3 linked regions of the Caenorhabditis elegans genome follow. Each later gene encodes a partner of the first gene's protein in a complex. Each region holds a gene or a part of one and is shown in the gene's direction. Other genes may lie near its edges.

Region 1 (3,165 bases):
GCTCTTTTGATCGGTTATTATTCATTCGGGGATTGACTGAGGATCTTTAGATTCTTTCTCACTTTCAGGTAGACTTCCTCGCGGCTTCGGCTCCGGTAGTAGTAGTTTACATATCAGGATTTTCAACACTTTTGTATTCCGACACTATTCCACTGGAAAATTCACTTATTGTGCATTTTTGGCAAAATTCTACAAGTTTCAAGGGAGACGCGCTTATACAAAAGGGTCTCGCCGCGGGAATCGTATTTATTAAAGATACTTGGTTTAAATGTCTTCTTACGTTAACAGAAGATTATTTTTAATATGTTTTTCTCGCGGCGAGACCCCTACACACATATGCTCTGTCCTTTGAACTTAAATGTTACTCTTTTCGTTTCAATACCAAATGCGCAATAAATCCCGCATTGAAGCATAGCGTTCTCCCATTACTTCTGCTCCCATTTCAGTTATTTTTTATGCCAATCTTGAAATTATTGCGTGCTCAAACGAAAATCAAACAAGCACTTACTTTGAACGATTTACTTATCGAAGGAATACCACAGAAAATCGTAGGATAAGATTATGAAAATTTGCACTGAAGTTCATGGGTGTGGGAAAACGAGGGAAATTATAACACTTAAAGAAGAAAAGGGCTGCTCAAAAATTGTGAGAAAAATACATAAATTTTGGAAAATGAATTTTGCAATTTATGGAAAAATTAAACGGATTGAAGAATGCTTCTGGTGATTTCTTGAATGTAGATATCCGAGCTGGTGAGCTTCTTCTCATCAGTAGAGGACGGCTTCAAAACAGCTTTCTTGGTCGGTGCATTCTCCTTGTCCTCCTCTTCGAAAACTTTCTCCGGTGAATTGACAATTGGATTTTTTGCGAGATAGTTCTGAAACATAACCAGGTTCTCATAAAATCTCAAAGTTTCATTTTTTAAGGAAAACATTAAGAGTTGTGTTAATATCAGTGCTTTGATTAAAAGTTCGAATAGTCTAAATAATTACCTCCACAAATTCCTTTTTCGAATTCAAGTTCCGGTCGTGAACGACAAAGAAGACATCAGAATCGTTTTTGACAGTCTCTGGCTCAGTGGCTTGAATAGTGTACCCCTTTTCTGGAAGACAACTATGTTATTATGATTCAAAAATGCTTGAAAACATTTACCGAGAACTCCGAAGCGCTCATTCAATGTGATTCGTTTATTTGTCGCAGTTTTGTACTTGTTTTCCAGAATCGACGCCACTTTGTTGCTGTGCTCACGGTCAGCTAAAGGAATAACTTGATATTGGATGGCAGTAGTCATTCTGAAAGGTTTAAATTTTTAAATTTTACTGAAAACGCAAAATATTTTGCAAAATGGGAAAGTGGAATGATTGAAAATCAGAAAATTAATTTTAAAATTGACAATTTTTAAAAGAATGGATGATAAATTTGTCTTCGCGCGCTACTCGAAACAAAAAGTGCAGCGGAGCGTGTTTGCATTACTTTCAAAACGACGCAAATAATGATTCATTTTCGGATTATCGACTCCAATTTTACGATTTTCGCCGGTATTTCATGTTTTATTTTGTTCCATGCAATCTTTTTTCACTTCTAAATAATGTCTCAAACTGTTTCGTCAATAAAAAAATCAATAAGCATGCGCATTGCAGGTAATGAGCGCAACACTCCAACCATATCTGGAGGCCGTGCGTCACACGCTCCAGGCAGCTCTCTGTCTTGAGCAATTCAGTTCGCAGGTGGTCGAGAGACACAACAAACCAGAAGTAAGATTTATAACAGTAAAATGACTTGCAAAGTGTGAAGATTGAATAATTTAAATCAGTCCGCCGCCAATTGCAATAGTTTTTCGCTCAAAAACTATTTAAATGTATTATTCTATTTGTATATTATAATAAAATTGTAGGTGGAAGTTCAAACATCGAAAGAACTGCTCATGACGCCAGTTGTTGTTGCTCGAAACAAACAGGAACGAGTACTCATCGAACCCTCCGTCAATTCTGTCAGAATATCAATCGCCATCAAACAATCCGACGAAATCGAGAAGATTCTGTGCCACAAGTTCACTCGATTCATGTGCCAAAGAGCCGATAACTTCTTTGTGCTCCGTCGCAAGCCACTGCCAGGTCAGAATTAATACTAATATTCAGAGATTAAAGCGATAATTTTAGGTTATGACATCTCGTTCCTCATCACAGCATCTCACACAGAAGCAATGTTCAAGCACAAACTTGTCGACTTTTTGCTTCATTTTATGCAGGAAATTGATAAGGTGAACATTTTAAGTTAATTTTTAAAAAATTCCATAAATTTCCAGGAAATTTCCGAGATGAAGCTGTCTCTCAACGCCCGTGCCCGTGTTTCTGCTGAAGAATTTTTGAAGCGTTTCAATTAATTTTCTCCCCATGATTCCCAATTCATTTTTCTCATTTTCACTCAAATTCCGAAGACTTTAAACTATTATGTGAACACGGTTTTTTGATCAATTTGTGTAAATATCATCTTTATTCTCAATTTTTTCACTTTTTGTTTCTGAAAATGACTCCCCTCCCAAAAATTTCCTGTTTTAGGTCCTATTTTGCCTTTTTGATTATCGATTTTTTTTACCGCACACTGACTTTATGAATTATTTATTCAATTTTTGCAATATGTATGATCTGAAATATCTCGTGAAACATTTACGAGCTTTAATATTTTAAAATGATTATTAAGTTGGAAATTGACAAATCAATTTCAGAAATGAAGTCTATTCTACTTTTATTCTCCCTGATAGTGCTCGGCAGTGCAACAGAAGAAGTGAGCAGAACTGAGCAAACATCGACATTATTCTCCGTCGAAGGCGAGGTTCGTATACCAAAAATGTTTGATTTTTGGATTAAAAATATCGATCATTTTGGCTATATTCATAGAGAAGTCATATTATAAATTAAGACAACGTTTATATGCTTCTGAATACTTTTTCCAGTTCTCACATTTTTTAAAATTTTATCTTCTAGGTTCCTATTCTAATAACAACAAATTCGTTGTAAATTAAATATTTCATAGTCCTCAAAAAAAAAATTTCAGATCGCACTTCCATCTACTCGAAATTGTGCAAAATGGTCCGCAGGTGCTCGTATTCATTTGAACCATGGCCAATATATGGGATTTGTTCGTCAAGATTGTACATTCCGTGTT
Region 2 (3,305 bases), on another chromosome or scaffold:
TTTGAAGACTACAGTTTTTTTAAAGGCGCACACTCGTTCATATTTAAATATGTGATCGTGTCGAGACCGGCTACTCTATTGTTGAAGTTTTTGGTCCTTACTTGGCTCAAATTAGAGCTCCAGCTGTGTACCTGACTTCCGCAGTGCTCAAAGCTTTAATCTTTATAAAACATATGTTTTTCCATCCAATTCATGGGTATATTTAGAATTCTAAATGTTAACATAACAAGTTTTCTTCAAACCCTAAACTCTTCAACATCGCATTTATTTCCAGAGGCTCGAAGGCGCATTGGAGAAAAACTTCAAAAAAGTACGAACAGTTGAAGATGTCACAACTACATTTATGGACTTCTTTGGAACTCAAAGAAGCCGTGTAAGACAACAATTAATTGAACGACTGAAATCAATGCGAAAAGCCATCGAACATTCATCATTCTTCAATTCACATGAAGTCGTCGGAAGCAGTATTCTGATTGTTTTTGATACGGAAAAAGTGGGATGCTGGATGATTGACTTTGCAAAGAGTTCACCGGTTCCTAATGGACGAACACTAAACCATCGGACGACGTGGATACCTGGGAATAATGAAGATGGGTATTTGATAGGAATCGATAATTTAGTCAAGGTAAGCTTGGTTTTCTTAGAATTTTTTATTTAAATATTATTAATGTAGCACCTTACTATTAAACTCAGTTGCCTTTTGTCCTATACAAAAATTGTTAACGGAAAAATATTGGAAAGTGTTTCATATTGTTTTAAAATTTTTTAAAGCAAAAATAAAGTAGTGGGATTTAATACTATTAGAGAATATTCGGTAACTAATATAGATAAGAGGTGCGGAAAATCAATTTATATATTTTCAAATTCTTGACACTATATTTATTTTTCTTTTGAATTTGAGTTTATTTAACTAAAAGAAGAGAAATAAACAAATAAAACGAGACGAACCCTAAAAGAGTTCAACTCGAGTAAAAGTTACATAAAAAAAGAAAGAAAAGATAATAGGGAACAGGTGAAACGGGGAGAAAAACGAGAATGGAGGTAAAAGTGTAGTTATAACCGGGGGATGTTGAGATCAATAAATTCACAGAACTGATATGGGGACATAAAAACCGTAACATTTTTGAATAAATTGGAAAAAATATTGGAAAGTGTTTCATATTGTTTTAAAATTTTTTAAAGCAAAAATAAAGTAGTGGGATTTAATACTATTAGAGAATATTCGGTAACTAATATAGATAAGAGGTGCGGAAAATCAATTTATATATTTTCAAATTCTTGACACTATATTTATTTTTCTTCTCATAAATTTTAAATGTTACCAAGTAGTTGAATTATAATTCAAATATTTTCAGATTCTCGAAGAACTCCCCGAGTACGGAGAACATCCTGATGACCAGTTAATGGTCACAGAGGAAGTGATTGCCAGAATGAAAAATACGAAATCGTAGAAGCTTCTACCTCCTTGGATTACTGTAGATAGATGAAAGTGTGTGTCTCTTCATATTCCGCCATAATAATTTCTGTGATTCCCCACCGCTCCTCCACAAAATCCTCATCCGTGTACAATTTGCTATTATTCAATTTTACACCCCCTCCAGCCAGTCCTTGTTTTTGTTGGTTTTTTGAAAAAGAAAATAGATTTTTTGAAAAAGAAAATAGATTTTCACTTTTTAATCTATCGCTTTCCCCTTCTCTTTTCCTTTACCATGGCATAATCCCTAGACTTTCTTCTTACTTTCAGTTGTTTTTTTTGTTCCATTGTGTACGATCCGAGTAATGGATTAATTGATTGGGTACAATTTGTATATTTTTATTCTCAAATGAAGAGAAATTTTTGAAATGTCCAGTTGCAATTTAGATCCAAACAACAATCTATTGAAGTCTTTGCTTTAAAAGCTAGAGCAGGTGCAATTGTTCCCAGTGCATATCGGCCGATTGCCTAGTGAAAAGTACTAGGCAAAACAAAAAACTTATGGCAATTATTTGGGGATTAAAAGAAAATTGTTCAGAAACAAGAATCTATGAAATTTGGTATGCAGCAGAACAAACGTTTTCGAATTTCACAAAAGAGTGGACAATTGGTGCTCTTATTCAAAATTTCAAAGAGACTTCAAAAAAGCTTTCTTATATCATTTTTTAGGTTTTCATTCAGAAATGTTTTTCTATTGTAGATAATGTACAACACTGACTATAAAAAGTACAATGTTGATATTTTTCATCCAGCTCATTTTGAAGATATTCAGGAAGGTTAGTCAATCTGAATTCAATAATTAATTTTTGAATAAATAATAATATTTCAATAAATAATTTTTGAAAATTTTTTCAGAATCTGCAGATTGTGGGCCAAATGTGCAAGAGGTTCGGCAATTTCTGGAGTCAAATCGACTTGAATATGCTCTTCAATCCGTTCTCTTAAACCCACCATTTGGTCATTCTGAACAGGTTTTATTTTTTAATGTCATTTTGCAAACCTCTTTCCCTTTTAGGAACTCAAGAACCGTGCTGTTCTCCTTGTGGCCGAGGTTATTCATGCATTTCGACAGACCGATATTGAAGAATCAGTTCACAAGCTGTCAAATGAAAATGGAGACATTCTGATGAAGTATATTTACAAAGCAATGCAACTATGCTCTGATTCTGCCACGTGTCTTTCTCTACTATTGTGGCATTCTCAATTGGTATCAAAATTTGGGCAGGGATCCATTGTTCGAGTGTTGTCCAATCGACAACGTCTCTAATTTTTTAATGAAGGTACATGTATCTGTTAATTTCTGCAATAAAACTCCAAGATCCAAAGTTTTTTATATGAAGAAGTTCAAATTTACAACAACCAAATATATTAGGAAATAAATAAAATGATTCAAGAAAAAATGAAGATTATCCAGAAGTGCAGAATCCGCAAGTGAGTGGGCATTGAGCTCTCATAAGGGTTGCGTAGGCAGAATTGGTACAGAATGCACGACGGTTTGGACAATCGGAGACTCCTGTAGCTGCGTTGACTTGGTCAACACAGGTGGCTGAAAAGTTCAGACATGGAACGTTATGAACAATTATTAATCTTACTTGAAGCTGTTGTGGAGGAAGATGAAGTTACGGTAGAGCTTGAGTTACATCTTCCACAAGTTCTTGGGCATTGTTGAGTCATGACGGCATAGTAGACTGAATCATTGCACAAAGAAGCTCGTGCAGTACAATCAGAAACTCCGGTGGATGGGTTTACAAGATCGGCACAGCTAGTGGAGCTTGTGGTAGTTGAGTTACAACGACCGCATGTTCTTGGACATTGTTGAGTCATGACTGTG
Region 3 (4,717 bases), on another chromosome or scaffold:
ATGTTTTCTATTTAAATTATGTGTTTTTAAAAATTATTTAAACCCCACAGAAAGATTATGATTGCATGCTGGTCTATTTTATTTGAATAAATCATGATTTTTTTACTTTTTTTCATTTATCTTTGGGGTAAGAAAATGTTCTCTAAATCAGTAATTTACATGGAGAAATTTGCTCGAAAAAATTCAAAAAAAATACAGTAAGAAAATTGTCGTAAAGTCTAGGGTTTTGGTATTGCGGACTACGACAAAATGCACACAAACCATTTTGGCACCGGAAAAAGGCAAAAGCCAGGATTTTATCGCGTTTTGGCTCATTTTTCTTGCAAATTTCCATGGAATTCAGTTAACATATACCTAATTATTCAGTTATTTCGAATTAATCAATAATTTTCAGTGAATTTCGCAATTTCTAAGTGGTCCAATGATGTCTGTCCACATATTTCCTTGAAAACTGATTGTTTTATCGGAATTTATTGATTTAAAATAATATATATAATAAAATCTGAATTTTAGAATCATTTTTGACGTGGAAAAGACCCGAAAAATCCAAAAATCACGAATAAACTGAACAATTAAGGTATTAATTTTTGATCCCCCACCCCCAGTTTCTCAGTTTCTCAGCAAAGGATTAAAACAATTGTTCTTCTTCTTTTCCCCCTACAAGAATTTCCTGTGAATTTCAATCGTAAAAATATCGATTTTCTGTTTATTCTTTGGATGAGTCACCGCACTCGCCGATTGTTTAACTAGTGCAGTTCGGCAGTTTTACGTTATTTTTTCACGATTTTTTGGATTCTGATCCTCTAGGTGACTTGAAAATACCGAATTTCATATCGTAATATGACAGAAAAATTTATGGCGGTAAAAAAATGCGGAAAAATTTTCTAATTTTAACGGAAAACTCCAAAAAGCCGTTGGAAAATGATTTTTATTTGATATTGGCATATTTAAATAATTTTTATCCTGTTTTTTAGTGGATTTGGATATTTTAACCCGATAGTTATGTATAACGGCTTAAAAATTGCCAAAATCAGCGAAAAAACGCGAGAAAAATCACTTAAATATGGAAAATAGAACAATAATCAAATAAACCCGATTATCCAAGCCAAAACTGAGTTTTTTTTTTCGCATTTTTGAACTTCAAAATTTCGAAAAAATGGGCTATTTTTAACGAAAATCCCCAATTTTGCAATTTTTTCGTGTCACAGCCGTCGGAAATTGATTTTTATTTGATTTTTGACACATTTGAGTGATTTTATCCTTTTTTTTTCGTGGATTTAGGTACTTTTAGCCGATAGTTACGTATTGCTAAAATACTGGCTTAATAAGTAGCTAAATCGACGAAAAAATATGTTTTAAAAAACCAAAAATGGCAAAATTTTACGATTTTTGCTAAATCTTTTTTTTTTTTGAAATTTTAAATCGTCATAAAATTATTTAGCTAAATTTTTGTTAAACATTTCAGCGAAAAACTCCATTTTTGCCAATTTTTTGTGTCACAGCGGTTGAAAATTGCGTTAATTTAGGTATATTTGAAGCCAAAAAAGGAACAAAATTAATTTATTTGCAAAATTATCAATTTCCGGCTTAAAAACGCTCCAAGATTGGAGATTTCAGCGGAAATTAGCCCATTTTTTCGAATTTCTAAACCGCTAGACTGAAATTCCGTCTTTTTCTCCCATTTAAAACAAAAAAAATCCCAAATTTTTTGCAGCAAGCATGTCGGCCCATCAACTACCGGCATGTGTGATCGACAATGGAACGGGTTATACGAAGCTCGGATATGCTGGGAACACGGAACCTCAGTTTATTATTCCATCTGGTTAGATTTATTGATTTTCAGCCTATTTTTCATAAAATCCAGTGAATTTTCCAGCAATTGCCGTGAAGGACAAGGTGGCGAGCTCGAATTCGCAGGCGATGCGCTGGAATAACCGAGTCGGAGCCGGGATAGACGATCTTGATTTCTTTATTGGAGATGAAGCTTTGTCGCCGGCCGCTACGAATTATACTGTCAAAGTTCGTAGTTAATAGACCATATTTATGCTCCTGATGTCAAATATCAATGTGAAATTTTTTTTTTTAATTCCCAGATTTTATATAATTTTTTAAAATCCAAAAATCCTAATTTTAAATTTAAACGACAAAATTTTGCATGATAACCGTGCCGCAGGTGTGGATTTACGAGATTAATATTTTTAATTCATTTTTATTTAATTTTCACACCGATTTTCCCGTTTTTTCGTTGTTATACATTGAAATTCTTGGGATTTTCATAAATTTATTCATAAATTTACTTTTTATTAATGAAAACAAATTAAATTACAAGAAATATCGAACTTTTGCTGAAAAAATCGAATATTTCACGTATTTTTGTTGTTTTCATTAATAAAAAGTCATAAATTAATGGAAATCATGATAATTTTAATGTAAAACAAGGAAAAATCGGGAAAATCGGTGTGAAAATTAAATAAAAATGAATGAAAAATATTAGTCTCGTAAATCCACACATGCGGCACGGTTATCATGCAAAATTTGTCGTTTCTGAATTTAACATTTTGGACTTTTGGATTAAAAAAAATATAATTTTTTATAAAATCGGGAATTTTATTTTTTGAATTTTTCACATTGATATTAGGTATCAGGAGCATATGGAAAAAATGTTTAAAATTAAAATTAAATTTTTTAGTATCCAATTCGGCATGGAATCGTCGAAGACTGGGATCTTATGGAACGATACTGGGAGCAGTGCATTTTCAAATACTTGAGAGCCGAGCCAGAGGATCATTTCTTCCTTTTGGTACGGGAGAGAAGCAGAAAATTCGGGAAAAAATGCTCTGGAACAATATTTTGGCCACTTTTAAAAGAAAAGGGGGTCGAAAATCCGTTTTTTTAATAGAAAATATCCTGTAAAATGGATGTAAATCGGTGAAAAGCTATATATTACAGAAAAAACACGTGAAAAGTGATAAATTTCGATGAAAAAAGCTTAAAAATCACGAAATTTTGCAATTTTTGACTCTAAAATTACGGTATCCGGTCTTGACAGGACAATTTTTTTGGAAATAAAGCATGTGATACCAATTTAAAAAATACGTAAAAATTTTGAAAAAAACGGGAGAAAAATCAAGGAATTTCCCCCGAAAACTCCGGTATTTTTAAGCTTTATTAATTAAAATTAATTAAATGAAAAATCTACATTTTTTCAAAAAAATAGCAAAAAAAATTTTTTTTCGTATTAAAATCCTAATTTTATAGGAAAAGCTGTTTTTTTGAAGATATGGCTTTAATTTTCTATTTAAAAAATCGTTTTTTTTTTCTGGAAATTTACAAAATTTTGTTTCTAATTTTTTTTAAAGTAAGGGTCCCGCCACGATCTACCTGAGCTTCAACTTTCAGGCTTAAAGTTGGTGTAGTCGAATTTTTTTTTTGCTTTATTAGAATCAAAATTGTCTAAAAACACCGAATTTCATAATGAAACTTCTTGAAAAAAAACAGTTATGACGGTTCAAAAAATCGGCTAAAATTAGTTAAAATTTGAAATTTGGCCTTTTGAAATTACCGTCAAATTTTAGATATATAAGTTTATTATCGTGCGTTTTCAACTCGATTTAGGTATTTTAAAGTCGGTGGACTTGGAGATTTGGTAATAAAAATTTAAAAATCTCCAAGTCCACCGGCTTTAAAATACCTAAATCGAGTTGAAAACGCACAATAATCAACTTATATATCTAAAATTTGACGGTAATTTCAAAAGGCCAAATTTCAAATTTTAACTGTTTTAGGCCATTTTTTTGGAGCCGCCATAACTTTTTTTTTGAGAAGTTTTCAATTCATTATGAAATTCGGTGTTTTCAGACAATTTTTGAGTCTAATAAAGCAATTTTTTTTTTAAAAATCGACTACACCACCTTTAAATAGCGAATATTAGGCAGTTTTCCACGAAAAAATTTGAAAATTTCCAGACGGAACCACCACTCAACACTCCGGAAAACCGAGAATATACTGCTGAAATTATGTTCGAGTCGTTCAACGTGCCAGGCTTGTACATAGCCGTTCAGGCCGTCCTAGCGTTGACTGCCAGCTGGAATTCCAGAGAAGCCAACGAGCGAAGCTTGACTGGATTGGTAGGAAATTTTTTCGCTTTTGAGAAAAAAAAATTTTTATTATTTTATTTGTCACTTATTAAATAGCCAAAAATGCAAATTAATACCAGCAAAAACATGAAAAATATAATGAAAAACGACAATTTACACATTCCCGACAATGATGGATACTTGTTCCCGTCTACTTCGGCTTCTCCTGCAACTGCAAAAAAATCGAATTGCTCCTCACCATCAAGCGCTCCGAATCCCAAAATATCCTCATCGAAACTCGAAACCTCGCGGAGCAACACAGGCAGCTCTTGCAGCCAGAAACTTCCAGTTTTCCGTGGATCTTGCTCCAAATGCGTCAGAAATAGATGCCAAATTTGGCGGAATCTCTCCTTTTCGGCTTGTCGGCGGTTCGCATTTTCTAGCTGCTCATGATCTTCGGCTTCAGCGTGGAAAGCGGTTCTGAGTGCTTCTTCGTCGATTTTCGGGATGTACGCAGAAATTGCCATGTCGAGTAGAGAGTGTGGGAGACTGAGAGGGACAGGGAGAGATGACGTGGATTCTGGTGTACCGACGACGATCGATAATGTTTTCGAGGTACCTGTGTACCATCTGCCGTCTCT

The links.
Region 2: arx-6 (region 1) and C46H11.3 share a complex: the UniProt entries of both Caenorhabditis elegans proteins name them as parts of the arp2/3 complex.
Region 3: arx-6 (region 1) and arx-1 share a complex: the UniProt entries of both Caenorhabditis elegans proteins name them as parts of the arp2/3 complex.

The regions. Positions count from the first base shown.
Region 1 is NC_003281.10:4,877,020-4,880,184, forward strand, and holds arx-6 (putative actin-related protein 2/3 complex subunit 4), read left to right. Parts: upstream 1-1,638; 5' UTR 1,639-1,643; coding exon 1,644-1,754; intron 1,755-1,894; coding exon 1,895-2,114; intron 2,115-2,159; coding exon 2,160-2,260; intron 2,261-2,305; coding exon 2,306-2,383; 3' UTR 2,384-2,624; downstream 2,625-3,165. Other genes in the region: Protein tost-1, read right to left, coding at 698-877, 993-1,102, 1,153-1,291; C35D10.1 (ER membrane protein complex subunit 7 homolog), read left to right, coding at 2,728-2,832, 3,055-3,165. UniProt on the Caenorhabditis elegans protein: Functions as actin-binding component of the Arp2/3 complex which is involved in regulation of actin polymerization and together with an activating nucleation-promoting factor (NPF) mediates the formation of branched actin networks.
Region 2 is NC_003279.8:5,039,315-5,042,619, forward strand, and holds C46H11.3 (putative actin-related protein 2/3 complex subunit 5), read left to right. Parts: upstream 1-2,055; 5' UTR 2,056-2,177; coding exon 2,178-2,250; intron 2,251-2,329; coding exon 2,330-2,445; intron 2,446-2,489; coding exon 2,490-2,741; 3' UTR 2,742-2,778; downstream 2,779-3,305. Other genes in the region: lfe-2 (Inositol-trisphosphate 3-kinase homolog), read left to right, coding at 275-625, 1,356-1,451; C46H11.7 (ShKT domain-containing protein), read right to left, coding at 2,881-3,020, 3,067-3,305. UniProt on the Caenorhabditis elegans protein: Functions as a component of the Arp2/3 complex which is involved in regulation of actin polymerization and together with an activating nucleation-promoting factor (NPF) mediates the formation of branched actin networks.
Region 3 is NC_003279.8:2,890,716-2,895,432, reverse strand, and holds the start of arx-1 (Actin-related protein 3), read left to right. Parts: upstream 1-1,714; 5' UTR 1,715-1,719; coding exon 1,720-1,822; intron 1,823-1,876; coding exon 1,877-2,019; intron 2,020-2,689; coding exon 2,690-2,800; intron 2,801-3,965; coding exon 3,966-4,127; intron 4,128-4,171; coding exon of another isoform or gene 4,172-4,717. Other genes in the region: Y71F9AL.6 (Protein PBN1), read right to left, coding at 4,172-4,717. UniProt on the Caenorhabditis elegans protein: Functions as ATP-binding component of the Arp2/3 complex which is involved in regulation of actin polymerization and together with an activating nucleation-promoting factor (NPF) mediates the formation of branched actin networks.